Linked DNA regions of Saccharomyces cerevisiae S288C. The gene in region 1 interacts genetically with each later gene. Each region holds a gene or a part of one and is shown on either strand. Other genes may lie near its edges.

Region 1 (8,118 bases):
TGGATCCATCTATAGTAGTGCAAACAACGGCAGTGGTGACAGCAGCTCGACAGCATTGAATAATGAAAGTCCTAACACTACACCAAAAAGTAGAACTTTCTTTTCACCTAAAGGGCACAGAAGAAATAGCTCCCATGTAAGTTCGTTAACTTCTAGATCAACAAAAAAGCCTATAACTAACTTCACTACACGTACAAATGGGCTTTTGATTAGGCCATTGCCCCATCATGGCGTACATCACCTGGAAGCAATGATCAGGTTCATTATTCCTTTGATGGATTGTGCAAGACTTTATGGGCGTCCAGTTCAATTCAAGACAGAAAGAACCGATATAAATTCGTTAATGTTTGGATTACCTAAATTGCCCTCAGTGGATTATTTTGCTGAAGAGGAGATTGCCCATTTGATGACCCAGGAATTTAATCCTTTGAAAGAAAAAGATACTGACGATACTATGGCTTTAACTATGTCAAGATTTTCTAGCTACCTGCAAGAAAGAATGACAAAAGTCTCCAAGAGAAACACAGAACTCAACTTCAGGACCTTTAGTGATGTAATGGGCATGTATAATACTACGAGGGATCACTCTAAACTTAATTGCATGAGTGACAAGGATAATTCTGTGAAGGAATTTTCATTGAGTGATAAAAGCAATGTTAGTTCTGAAACGACTAATATGATGAATCAATTGCAAGTAAACGCCCATGAATACAAAAGTTCTATGTGCGAACGTCCTATCGTCGCAAGTACTTCGCCCATTGCATAGTTCTTCGCATATATAGCCACATCTCAAAAACTTACATACAGTGTATATATTTGTGGTACAGTTTCTGTATAGCCAAATATACCCTGATATAATCTTATGTGATATTATATACTTCCATCCTAATACTAAACTTTTTCGTTTAACGTGACGCATGGTGCGAAGAAAAAAAAATAGCAAATCGCCACTCAATAAAGTGAGTAGAGAGCATTATATCAAAAAAGCATCGATAATATCGAGTGATCATACGTTGAAAATCATCAAGTACAATAGTGATATAAGCCACAATGCAAGCTCCAGTGGTATTTATGAATGCTTCTCAAGAGAGAACTACCGGTCGTCAGGCCCAAATCTCCAATATCACTGCTGCAAAGGCAGTTGCCGATGTCATTCGAACTTGCTTAGGTCCAAAAGCTATGTTAAAGATGTTATTGGATCCTATGGGCGGTCTTGTGTTGACTAACGATGGCCACGCTATTTTAAGGGAAATTGATGTTGCACATCCAGCAGCTAAATCAATGTTGGAGTTATCCCGTACTCAAGACGAAGAGGTTGGTGACGGGACTACAACAGTTATTATTCTAGCTGGTGAGATTTTAGCTCAGTGTGCACCTTATTTGATTGAAAAAAATATTCACCCTGTTATTATTATCCAAGCCTTGAAGAAAGCACTGACTGATGCACTAGAAGTTATCAAACAAGTAAGTAAACCTGTCGATGTGGAAAATGATGCCGCTATGAAAAAATTGATTCAAGCCTCTATCGGTACTAAATATGTCATACATTGGTCAGAGAAAATGTGTGAATTAGCTCTAGACGCTGTTAAGACTGTCCGTAAAGACCTGGGACAAACTGTGGAAGGTGAACCTAATTTTGAAATCGATATCAAAAGATATGTCCGTGTGGAGAAGATTCCTGGGGGGGATGTTCTAGATTCTCGCGTCTTAAAGGGTGTCTTATTGAACAAGGATGTTGTTCATCCAAAGATGTCCCGTCACATAGAGAATCCACGTGTTGTTCTTTTGGATTGTCCACTAGAATATAAGAAGGGTGAATCTCAAACCAACATAGAAATTGAAAAGGAGGAAGATTGGAATAGGATTTTACAAATCGAGGAAGAACAAGTTCAGCTAATGTGTGAACAAATTTTAGCCGTTAGGCCAACACTAGTCATCACTGAAAAAGGTGTTTCAGATCTAGCACAGCATTATTTACTAAAGGGTGGATGTAGTGTTTTAAGAAGAGTGAAGAAATCAGACAATAATAGAATTGCTCGTGTAACTGGTGCAACCATTGTCAATCGTGTAGAGGACTTGAAGGAAAGTGATGTCGGTACAAACTGTGGATTATTCAAAGTAGAAATGATTGGGGACGAATATTTCTCATTTTTGGATAACTGCAAGGAACCAAAAGCTTGTACCATAATGTTACGTGGTGGTTCCAAAGATATATTAAACGAAATAGATCGTAACCTACAAGATGCTATGGCTGTTGCTCGTAATGTGATGTTGAGTCCTTCCTTGTCCCCAGGTGGTGGTGCCACCGAGATGGCAGTTTCTGTCAAATTAGCAGAAAAGGCAAAGCAATTAGAAGGGATCCAGCAATGGCCATACCAAGCTGTAGCTGATGCTATGGAGTGTATTCCACGTACTTTGATACAAAATGCAGGTGGTGATCCTATTAGACTCCTATCCCAACTAAGAGCCAAACACGCACAGGGAAATTTTACAACAGGTATTGATGGTGACAAGGGGAAAATTGTAGATATGGTTAGTTACGGTATTTGGGAACCTGAAGTCATCAAGCAGCAAAGTGTCAAAACCGCTATTGAAAGTGCATGTTTACTATTAAGGGTTGATGATATTGTTAGTGGTGTAAGAAAACAAGAATAATAGCCTCGAGGTTAAACTTCATTACTGCCGTTTAATATTTGGTGTTTCTTCACATTTTTTTGTTTTTTTATACTATTGTAATGTATTTATATAGAATTAAAGTCCTCACTATAATTTTGTCATCCCTACAGTATGTCATAAGCGTTAATCGGACAAACGTTCATTTTAAAATTGGCCTTTTTATATTTATATTACTCCTCATAGGATTTAATATAGAAGTATCATTCGTTAAATAATCATTATATCATCTGTGCTTTAAATAAAAAAGTCGGCCGTCGATGTGTTTACGATTGGCCAGTATACTTACTCATTCATGGGATTAGTTTTATTTCAACGCTGTGGTGGGTACGATATGAAAGACGAACTCGACTTGTCATCATCTGAAATGATCTCAGAATTTTTGCTTTGAGAAAAAGAATTTGATTCTCTCATTTCTAAAATTGGGGTTAACTGCCGCGGCTTGACAGCTGAGATGATATCAGACGTCTCAGTGCTTCGTCCCTTTGGCGTCATAGGGCAGTTTATGTACTCTTCGCCAGAAAACATTCTTCCCTGGTTTGAGGGGGTCAACGACTTGGAGACTAAGGCTTTTCTACTTATTTTTGGTCTTTTCGATTGTGCTTCAGCTTCTTTTTGATTTGCGCTTTCTTCTTGCCCTAAATTTGCTTCTCTTGGATGTTTCCTATTTGTCCTAACCCTTTTATAAACGTTTCTAGAAATTGCCAAGACTTCTTCTAGCGAAAATTCTAGTCTACCACCTTTAGATTCCTCATCTTCACAATAAATCAGTTTAAAATTACAGTCAATTTTTTCTGGTTTCTGGTCCTTTGTATTAATCATTTGATAAACAGGGTCACTTCTACCTATAGAATCTCTAAAGATCGGTAGTTTTTCATCATATGGTCTCTTTTTTTGCGATAACATCTCATGTTGTTTAAGCTCACCCAAATTGGTATTTGCTTCTAGCAATGATATTCGAAGGTTGTTTTCTTTGTTCCTTTCTGCCTTTAAGTCAAAATTTTCCCAGCCATCTCTATAAACACCTCTATTCGGAGTTTCGAATAGTTCTACATCAGACTCTTCTCCATCTACAAATACGTTGTTTTTTGTTAAATTGACGTCACTTGATGTGCCATTTTGATTTGCAAGCTCTAGTCTATTGACAAATTCAGATCTGGTTTTCCCAAGTACTGTAGACTCTAATGAGTCCATCGATATTTCATTTCCTAGCTGAATATTGTTCTCCCCCAGTTCTCTCAGGAGATGGTTTAACCGGTCTTCTAAAACCTTATTAGGCCTAGCCTTATTTTTGATTCCTAGCTGTAGAATTTTCACGGCATATTGAAATTTTTCTTTCTGAATTAATAGATTCGTAAATTCTTCATAAAATGACGCTAACTCGGAACCAATTCCATTTCTTAACATATACATGAAAATGTCTCTGCTTTCCATGAATGAATTTCTGGTAAAAAGTTCTATGTACCAAAACCATATTTTAAGAAACCTAACATCATTGCGATATCTCTCCAAATCCTTTAAGTGAGATAAACATCGCTCCAAAAGGGTGAGCATTCCAGATTGTTTGGAATTACCGCCTTGTGGATAGGCGTTGTTCAGCCACTTTATGTATTCAAGATACAAAGTAATTGGGTCGCTTAATGCAGGGAGCTCATCTATCAGTCTTTGTTCGAAGCTTGATTTAACTTGGTTTATTTCCACCAGTGGTTGATGTATCGCTTTCGAGAGTGCCGCTGCTGATCTGCCTTCCTTCAGGGGAAGAATGTTTTCTTTTTGAGTTTCGATTTCTTCAAAGTTAATAACATTTTGTGATGGTGACGATGGCATGTAAGAGATACGTTTCTTTGCGTACGCTTTCATTCTATCAAGTTAACGTCTTTTATTGTATTTTCGCATGATTTTGTTTACTATTTTTGAACCAGTGTGCGCCTGGTGAAGGTGTGCATTTCAGGCAAGAGGGTAGTTCTCATATATAAAAAAATGGCGCTAAAGAAATTATTATATCTAATATGATTATTACTTAATTATACAGTAAAAAAAACACGCTGTGTATTCATTTAGCAACTAGGTTGCAGAAAAAGGAAAATAAAATAGAGAGAATTAGAAACACAGAAACCATGCCGGGCCCGATCTTATCCTCATAATCTACTGCTCTCTTTAGTCTAATGTTTACCACTCTCTTGGCATAAACCATAACAGTACGTATCAACACAGCCAAGGAAGTAATAAAGAACCCAATGGAGCCAATCATGGCTGTTGGTGAACCATATGTTAATAAAGTAGTGGAGACACCGCCCAACAATATCGAGATGGACAACCAAGACAGGTAGGTTCTTTCAGTGGCAAAGTAAACTTTTGGTTCCACACGAACTGGCACACATATCGTCTTTCCCGGTGGGGCACGAATTTGAGTATCAAAAGTAGTACCTTTTGGGATTTTAGATATTTGATCACCGTTAAAATAGTGGTCAAAAAATGCCACGATTTCATAGTATTTCTTGGAGATAGGATTTTCGGCATTCCTGATCTTTCTTTGATAATAAGCAGCATTAGCACTCTCAACAACATGATTAGTGTTGGAGGTGGGGGCCGAAGTAGCCCCGTAACCAACAGATTCTTCTATATCAAGAGAATTACCGGGTGCGTTTGTCATGGCAGCAACCAAAGCAGCGTCATCCTCATCATCCTCATCGAAGTCGTTATCTTCGTTATCGGATCTACCGGGTCTTGTTATTTCAATATTTGTTGGTAGTGGAGGTTTCCTGATATCAACATCCATTTGAGGTAACCAAAATGGGATTGAATCCACTTTATCATTTAGTAAGGTAGCCACACCATGAATAAACTTGGAGAATTTTGGGACTGGCTCAACTAAGTGAGACCCGACTAATTCACGTACCCACTCTGGAGGTTCTTGACCTAGTTGAGTTTGCAATTTAACTTCCAGGACTGCATATGGGAAACGGCAAATATCCTTGTCATCTAGCTGCTTGAATGGCCAATCGACACCAATATCAGTTCTCCTCCAATTCTTATGAGTTCTATCCACACCATCAAAGTTGTCTTCTCTCACCATAGTTAACTCTGTATCAAGGGAGATACGAACTCTTGCATCACCAGGTAATTGAAAAGCAGTTCTATTGTAGAATGATCTCACTACAGGTCTCAACTTTTTCTTTAACATGACGTATTGAATTTCGGATGCTAACGCCTCCAAGTTTTCAATTTCGTTCATTGGCTTCTTGCCTTCTTTACGCATCTTGGCAAATACTTGATCAACAGTATATTTACCCTTTAAGAAGTCATTAACATGACGTTCCTTTAGCGCAAATCTTGCCTTGACAGATTTCTCACCAGTCCAATCCTCTCTATGGGTCTTTCTTTCTACAAAGATCGTGTCTGTAGACATACCCCCATACCATCTCAATCTGTGGGCTTCTGCACCTTCATCTTTTCTTAATCTGCCATAATAAAGGTCTAGATTTTCATTATCAAAATAGATCGAAGTAATAGCGGAATCTTCTCTTTCGAATTCCTTATTAGTGTTGAAGACTAACACTGGTAAATGCTTCAAGATGATCAGCTTCAATTCTGTAATGTTATCAGGGTGAACCCAATACTTTGTTGTCTGTCTAACGAAATTTTGTTGCTTCCCACCAGCAGATGAGTCTCCCTTGATTGGGCGACCTGAAGTTCTGGCAATATCATATAGTTGGGAAATTTTAACGACTAGTTCGTCATAGTTTTCCTTGAAAAATGGTTTAGAGTCTAATCTAACTTGGAAAACTGGTTTCAAGATAAAACCTGTCTTCTTATCGTGTTTCTTGATAATCTTTTGGAAACCAGTGTAGTTTAGTCTCGAAAACTTTGCTAGATCATGAACATCGGCAATGATATCACTTAGTTCTTCTTCTAGAATCTCAAAATCTAGCTGAGTAGGAGGATTATTGGAGTCTAACAAACGAACAGTATGTTGCACTTGTTCTTGAACCTCTTTTACACGTCTAAAAACTTCACTATGCTTAACTTTGCAAAATGTGTAAACCTTGTCTAACTCGATCTCCAAAGATTCTAAAAAATCTGTTTCCAATTCTTGCGTCCACTGACCGTTATTCTTAGATAAGTTATCTTCTAGCTCAGTCTTCAGATCATCATAACTAATATAATAGTAGCTGTACTGTCTAATAAGAGACTTGCTCAAGTGCTCACCAAACTTCATAGCTGTTCCTGCCTTGTTATGCTCTTTTATTGGCCGATTTGATTGTTAGCCTGTAACTTCTTTCTGATTGCCTCAATATATAAAGATAGTATTGCTTCTTTTTCATTCACGTGTGCAGCCACGTGCGGATGAATAATAAAAATGCAACATATATGCATAGTGCGGTGTGTGAAAAAGTGAACCTACAAGTCAGTAGCTCTCCGTCAAAACGCAGACAAACCAATTTTTTGTCGGTGTTTTCCTGTGCAATTCCAGTAAGTAACATATTAATACAATTTCCTATGATGGGTTACGTGGAAAGCAGAGAGGCAATTGCGTGATTAATTCGGAATATTAGCAACGCTTCTCTTAGTATGAAAAAGCTCTTCGAAAGACTATATTTTTGAAAGCTTTAATATGTTTATAAGTTAAATATTGTCGAACTTGTTTGCGACAGCTCTTGAAGTCACGGTGCGTCTTTTTTTACTCGTCAACTGGTATAACAATGCGTATGACAATTATTATATAACTATTACTTTATTCTTGCCATGAAGGGATTACTGTAACGCCCTCAACTAGTATACCCTTTTAAGCCTCGACAAAAATACAGAATAAACAAAAGTTAAATCTCACCGAAGTTGCTTGTGGTACTGGCTTTACAGACGTTTATAACGCAGCACTAAATTTCCAAATAATAACCTTCCTCCAATGGAAATAAAAAAAATCGAGACTAACCCAAAGTGTGCGCAATAAACTCTAAAAAATAAAGTATATTCTTGTAAATATTTCTATATGCTTAAGTTCAATAATACATGCATACTCATTGAACATGTTATATTGTTACACAACAAAGTAATTTCTGTTTTTCGGAAGTGCCAGTCCAAATCAATTCAAAGCACTGTACACTCATGCGTAGCCAGAGATGATCTCTAGCATTTCCTCAATTGTTTTTTCGTCAAATCTTGCATCACACTCCTCCACTATGGAGTAAAGGTGGACCATATTGGCAGGAAGTTGATTGACAATCTGCAGTTTTTCAGCCTTGAATAATTTAAAAGAATTCAGTTTAGTCATCAACTCAGCAAAGCTTTCATCGCTCATTTTGCTTATACCCGATTTTTCAGCATCTTTTGCACCACTGCTTTCTCGTTCCTCGCCTTCATCTTCCTGGTTGATAAAGTTTTTGTTTATACTGAGATAGTTAACCACATTGCGAGTAATACCTTGCAATTCAGGATGATTGTAGG
Region 2 (5,116 bases), on another chromosome or scaffold:
ATTTTGCTTTCTATAATTTGTTGGTTACACAAAGTCACAAATTTTTTCTTTTCGATAAGTTTAGTGATAAGTTTTCGTGGAGGTTGCCAATACAAATCGGAGATGCAATTTCTGAATGGCTATCCAGCTTAGAAATTGATATACAAGAAAACACCGATAGAGTTTTGCAGATAACAGATGACGTCGGCGAATGGTATGTTGAGAATAAACCATTTAAGTCAGAAAAAGGGACCATTCAACCAATAAACATAATGGAATTGCGCAAAATTTTTGGGGAGCGAAAAACTCTATTTCATATGGATTCAGAAATTTTCCAAAAATCTAAAGCAAAAAGAGATAAAGAAATGCGGAATGAAGCTTTATTTACCGCAAATGATGCGGAATATAATTTTGCTGCGGATGTATCCTATGCAAAGAGAGTAGAAAATCTATTTTCTTACATAAGATCTAAGCAAATGCAACAAAAATAATGATTATATGTAAAATTTGCCGTTTACATTCTATAAAGTGATATCAGACTCTAATATATTCGCCAATTCATGTTTCTGGCAGGCCACTTGTAGAGCTTGGAGTTGCCTGGTGACACCTAATTCCAAAAATATCTGGAACATACCTTGTAAAGCGACATTTTGATCAGTCATAAATTTTGATTTTGTTGCGGCGTATTCACGTTTCACAAGAACCAACAACCTTTTCAGTATTATGTTGGATAGATTCTTCTGGTCAGCATTTTCTCTCATTGTGTGGTAACAAGATATTGCCAAGAACGGGAAGAATTTGATCACGCTTACTCTCAATGTCGTACAATCTAATAAATGTAGGTTATAGAACTTGGCGAAAACACCCTGAAAATTAAAATTTGGATGTAGAACAACCAACCCAGATTCCATGATTCTAGTCCAAAATTTTACACAATGAATGGTGAATTTGATGGTGTCAAATCTCATACCTCCTGTTAATGGATCCTTGTTACGATCGCGTATTCTTGATTCAGCGATTTGTTTAGCGCTTGGAATTATTCTGATTAAATCGTGGCATAATTCCAGCTGTTGTGAAGGAGACAAAGATCTGTAGTATACGATAAATGAATCTATTGATGAAGTAAGCTGAGAATCTGTAAAATGTATTGCTCCAGCGCTCACTGCATATCCTTTCCAGAATTCTTCACTTAAACCTTGCTTGTGACGGAAATTGAGTATCGAAGAGTCAGATAACACAGTGATTTGTGATGTGGCCGAAGCAAGTAATTGATAACTTAGTTTTCTGATCTCTGGTACAGGTTCCGCCAGCAATCTCGTTAATTTTGGATTGATGGAGTCGCAATCACCAGATAAGAAATCGGGATGGGATTGCATAAGTTTTAAAGCCTGTATTCTTACCAGACGTCCTACATCACCCTGTTGAGTTATTGTATAATCATCGAGACAGTTGATAATGATGTTGCGAAATTTTCGATACGAATTCGACGGGAGTAAGCTTATTCTAACATCCCAATGATGATCAAGTTCGCCTATCAAAAGCGATCTGGATTGAGGTGACAATAGGGGGAACTGGGAGAAGAAAAGGGAACACATCTTTTCTTGATCGGGCATATGACATATTGATCGGCAAGTCAGTTCGTTATCTGATTTAATTAATTGAACAATCCTTGTGTAGTTTAGGCTAACGCATTGAGATATTATTTGCTGTATTATAGGGATGAATTCGTTGTACAGATTTAACTTCTTTTGTGGGGATACTATGTCTACAAATTTCCAAAACAATTCCTGATTGAAATCATTTTGTCCTGTTAATTGCCAGTATTTCAAAATGACAAAAATTTGAAACAGTTCGGGCGAATTATCGTTAAATTGTCTTTTCGCTTGAGTAGTTAATTGGAATTTTATCTTTTTCTGGTAAATGTCGATACAAATCTCGCTTATTTTCGGGCAATTTACGTCATTTTCGAATAGTTTCAAGTACAAGTACAAAATTTGACAATTTTGTGTAACTGAGCTGCCAGCCTTGTTTAATACCTCTTGCAATAAAGCGGGTGAAGATAATTTCGACTTGATTAATGGAACTAGGTTATAATCTATGTTGAGTTTCATTGTGGTCAAATGTAAATTCTCTAGTAAATTCCAATTGAAGGACCAATCGCGGAATACCTTCCATACGCAAACAGCACTTTTGGAGGTGTTTTCGGGGTTGAACAGCCTACGAATTAGACCAGAGTTCTCCTCGAAAGACCTCGGTAGATCCTTCCAATTTGCTTGCAATATCAAAGCAATGTCATTTTGATTTAGCGCAAGAGATTTGTTGGACCTGCCCAATAATTCTTGGAGCGCGGCAAAACTCGAGTATCTGATTATTAATTCGGGGTCAAAAAAGGCGTTTATTAACAGATGAGAAAGTAGTGATTGTAGAACCTGCGGCGATAAACTATTGCTACGGTTTGACCTTATTACTGACCAGATAATGAAGTTTGTCGAGTCCCTGATATGGTGGCCCTTGATGATTTGAAAGTGAGATTTCTGAAAATGACATGTTTTAGGGATGATCAGAGTCAATACGCGGTCGACTAGATCTATAGGCAGAATTTTGGCCAGAGCCACCTCGGCGATGATCAGAAGGGAAGTGTGCAGCTCATTGCTATCGATAGAATCGCAAGGAGCCTGTAATAGGGAAACCGTATTTTCGATGGTATAATCAATGAGCTCGATAAAAGATGCTGGATCTGCCTGGTGCAGGAACTTGGCAATTTTAGCGAAGGAGTGTGCCAATTGGAATCTTGTGTCTGTGGAATTCGAACTTAAATGGTCATGGAAGAATTCTACTATAGCATCTAGGATATCATGAGAGCCATGATTGAACGAAATCTGGAATAATTTTGGCAGCAGCTTTATTCCGTCATTGGACAGTGCAACTTGTTGTAAGTGTCTTAGATTTTCATTGGAGAAGTAGTAGTTTGCCTTTTCCGAAGACTGAATAAACAGCTTTAAAAATTGGTTGAGAAACGGCACATTTGCCTGTTCCCGTTCCGGTAGCTGGTCAAAGGCATCTGTGAAGTTTTTGAAATATAAAACGGCTTTGATCTTGTTAATTGGAGGTATGCAAATGGGGTAGTTCTCGAACCTGGAAGATACTTGAAGCGTTTTGTTGAATTTATCTTTGAATGCGTAAGGTGAAAGCAGAATGACGCTTAGCCAAGAAAGGTTTAGATAGACGCACAAGACATCGCTGAAAGAAGAGGGCGAGGCTCGATCTTGTAAATAGTTTAAAATTTCGTTTAATCTAAAAATACTTGTATCTAATGATTTAAGGACTTTTGAGTGGGAGATCTTGTCAAGATTGTAGAAAAGCTCCGCAACAAGTTTCTGATCACGCTGTGACATACAAAAGAACGACTTGGTCAAAAGAGGCACGCATCTCGGTAGTATGGTGTCTAGAAGTGCAGGATCATCTTGAAATTTGTTGATCGCGGCAATCGTCTGTTGGTGCTTTTCTGGAGAAACGGTCTGAACTCCAGATTGTATCGAGTCCAGCAAGGCCCGAATATTGTTCATGATTGAAGGGTGTAAAGTGCGTGTGGTGGCGTTCTTTCCAAAAATATTATCGTCTTTCCTTTTTTTTTCTTTTTTTTTTTTTCAATAGTAATAGTATTTCCTAGTGATCTCGGCGATTTTCCTTGATTTCTCCAAAAGCGTTTTTACCCGGACGATATGAATCCATCTATTAAACATCATAACATCATATTATTTTTTTCTGTGCTTCTAAAACGGAGATCAAATACCGGGCCCGCGCGCGATGGCCGGATGTCCGTCCATACTGCAATGTGAATTCCCGCGCGGTTCAAATCTTGTCACAAGTTTGTCAAAATTGCTTGTCATGTCTGCCAAATCTCCAGGGTCCTAAATCTGAGGTAGCACGGCACGGCACAAGATGGTACCCATGGTGCGTGACGACAGCCGCTACTTGCACGGCTTTGTTCCGGCAGCCCGGGTACCCGCGCTGCGAGTTGAAACATCATCAAACCAAAAGGGAAGCGACGTTAGTTTTTTTCATTGCGCTAGCTATGACGTTTGGGTGGCCTAGCCGGTTCGCGTGTGCCTGTCGCTTTTGTCGCTTTTCAACTTCTGCCCGATATTTCCTATCAAAGGAAAATGGGACGTTTTCAACCCCTCGCTATCATCGTGCCTGCACTCTGCCTATCGCCAACTACACCGGGGTTTTATCTGCTTCACCCCTCCATCCAGTGCTGATAACAAGAAGAACCTTGCAGGGTAGGGCAGGACCTACGGCCAAAATACTAATTATGTCTGTTTATGTACATGCCCCAATCTGAATATTCCATGAATGTAGGCACAGCATATCTCCATCCATGTACTGATACAGACGCATAAACATATATGTATATACATACTTATACACTCGAATATTTGTAGACTGATGTACTTCTATATATATATAGGGGGTTTGTGTTCCTCTTCCTTTCCTTTTTTTTTCTCTCTTCCCTTCCAGTTTCTTTTATTCTTTGCTGTTTCGAAGAATCACACCATCAATGAATAAATCATGGTAAATATACTGCCCTTCCACAAGAACAATAGACACAGCGCGGGAGTCGTCACCTGCGCGGACGATGTTAGCGGCGACGGTAGCGGCGGCGACACCAAGAAGGAGGAGGATGTTGTCCAGGTAACGGAATCACCATCGTCCGGGTCGCGCAATAATCATCGCAGCGACAATGAAAAAGATGACGCCATCCGTATGGAGAAAATATCTAAGAACCAGTCCGCGTCGTCCAACGGCACCATCCGCGAGGATTTGATTATGGACGTGGACTTGGAGAAATCGCCCTCCGTCGATGGCGATAGCGAGCCGCACAAACTAAAACAAGGTTTGCAGTCGCGCCATGTGCAACTGATCGCGCTGGGCGGCGCCATCGGTACCGGTTTGCTGGTGGGGACTTCATCCACGCTTCATACGTGCGGTCCCGCGGGGCTGTTCATATCGTACATTATTATTTCCGCGGTGATCTACCCGATCATGTGCGCGCTGGGCGAAATGGTGTGCTTTTTGCCCGGTGATGGTTCTGACAGTGCCGGGTCGACGGCCAATCTGGTCACTAGGTACGTTG

What was found. Genes that interact genetically often act in the same process or in processes that back each other up.
Region 2: mutations in MAD3 (region 1) and CIN1 together harm fitness more than expected from each alone (negative genetic interaction), as found in Saccharomyces cerevisiae (5 studies listed by BioGRID, with this or other methods).

Annotation. Positions count from the first base shown.
Region 1 is NC_001142.9:406,508-414,625, forward strand, and holds MAD3 (Mad3p), read right to left. Parts: upstream 4,534-8,118; coding exon 2,986-4,533; downstream 1-2,985. Other genes in the region: TPH3 (Tph3p), read left to right, coding at 1-766; chaperonin-containing T-complex subunit CCT3, read left to right, coding at 1,051-2,655; VTC4 (Vtc4p), read right to left, coding at 4,727-6,892; DNA-directed RNA polymerase III subunit RPC17, read right to left, coding at 7,778-8,118.
Region 2 is NC_001147.6:988,218-993,333, reverse strand, and holds CIN1 (Cin1p), read right to left. Parts: upstream 3,546-5,116; coding exon 501-3,545; downstream 1-500. Other genes in the region: MNE1 (Mne1p), read left to right, coding at 1-470; proline permease PUT4, read left to right, coding at 4,552-5,116.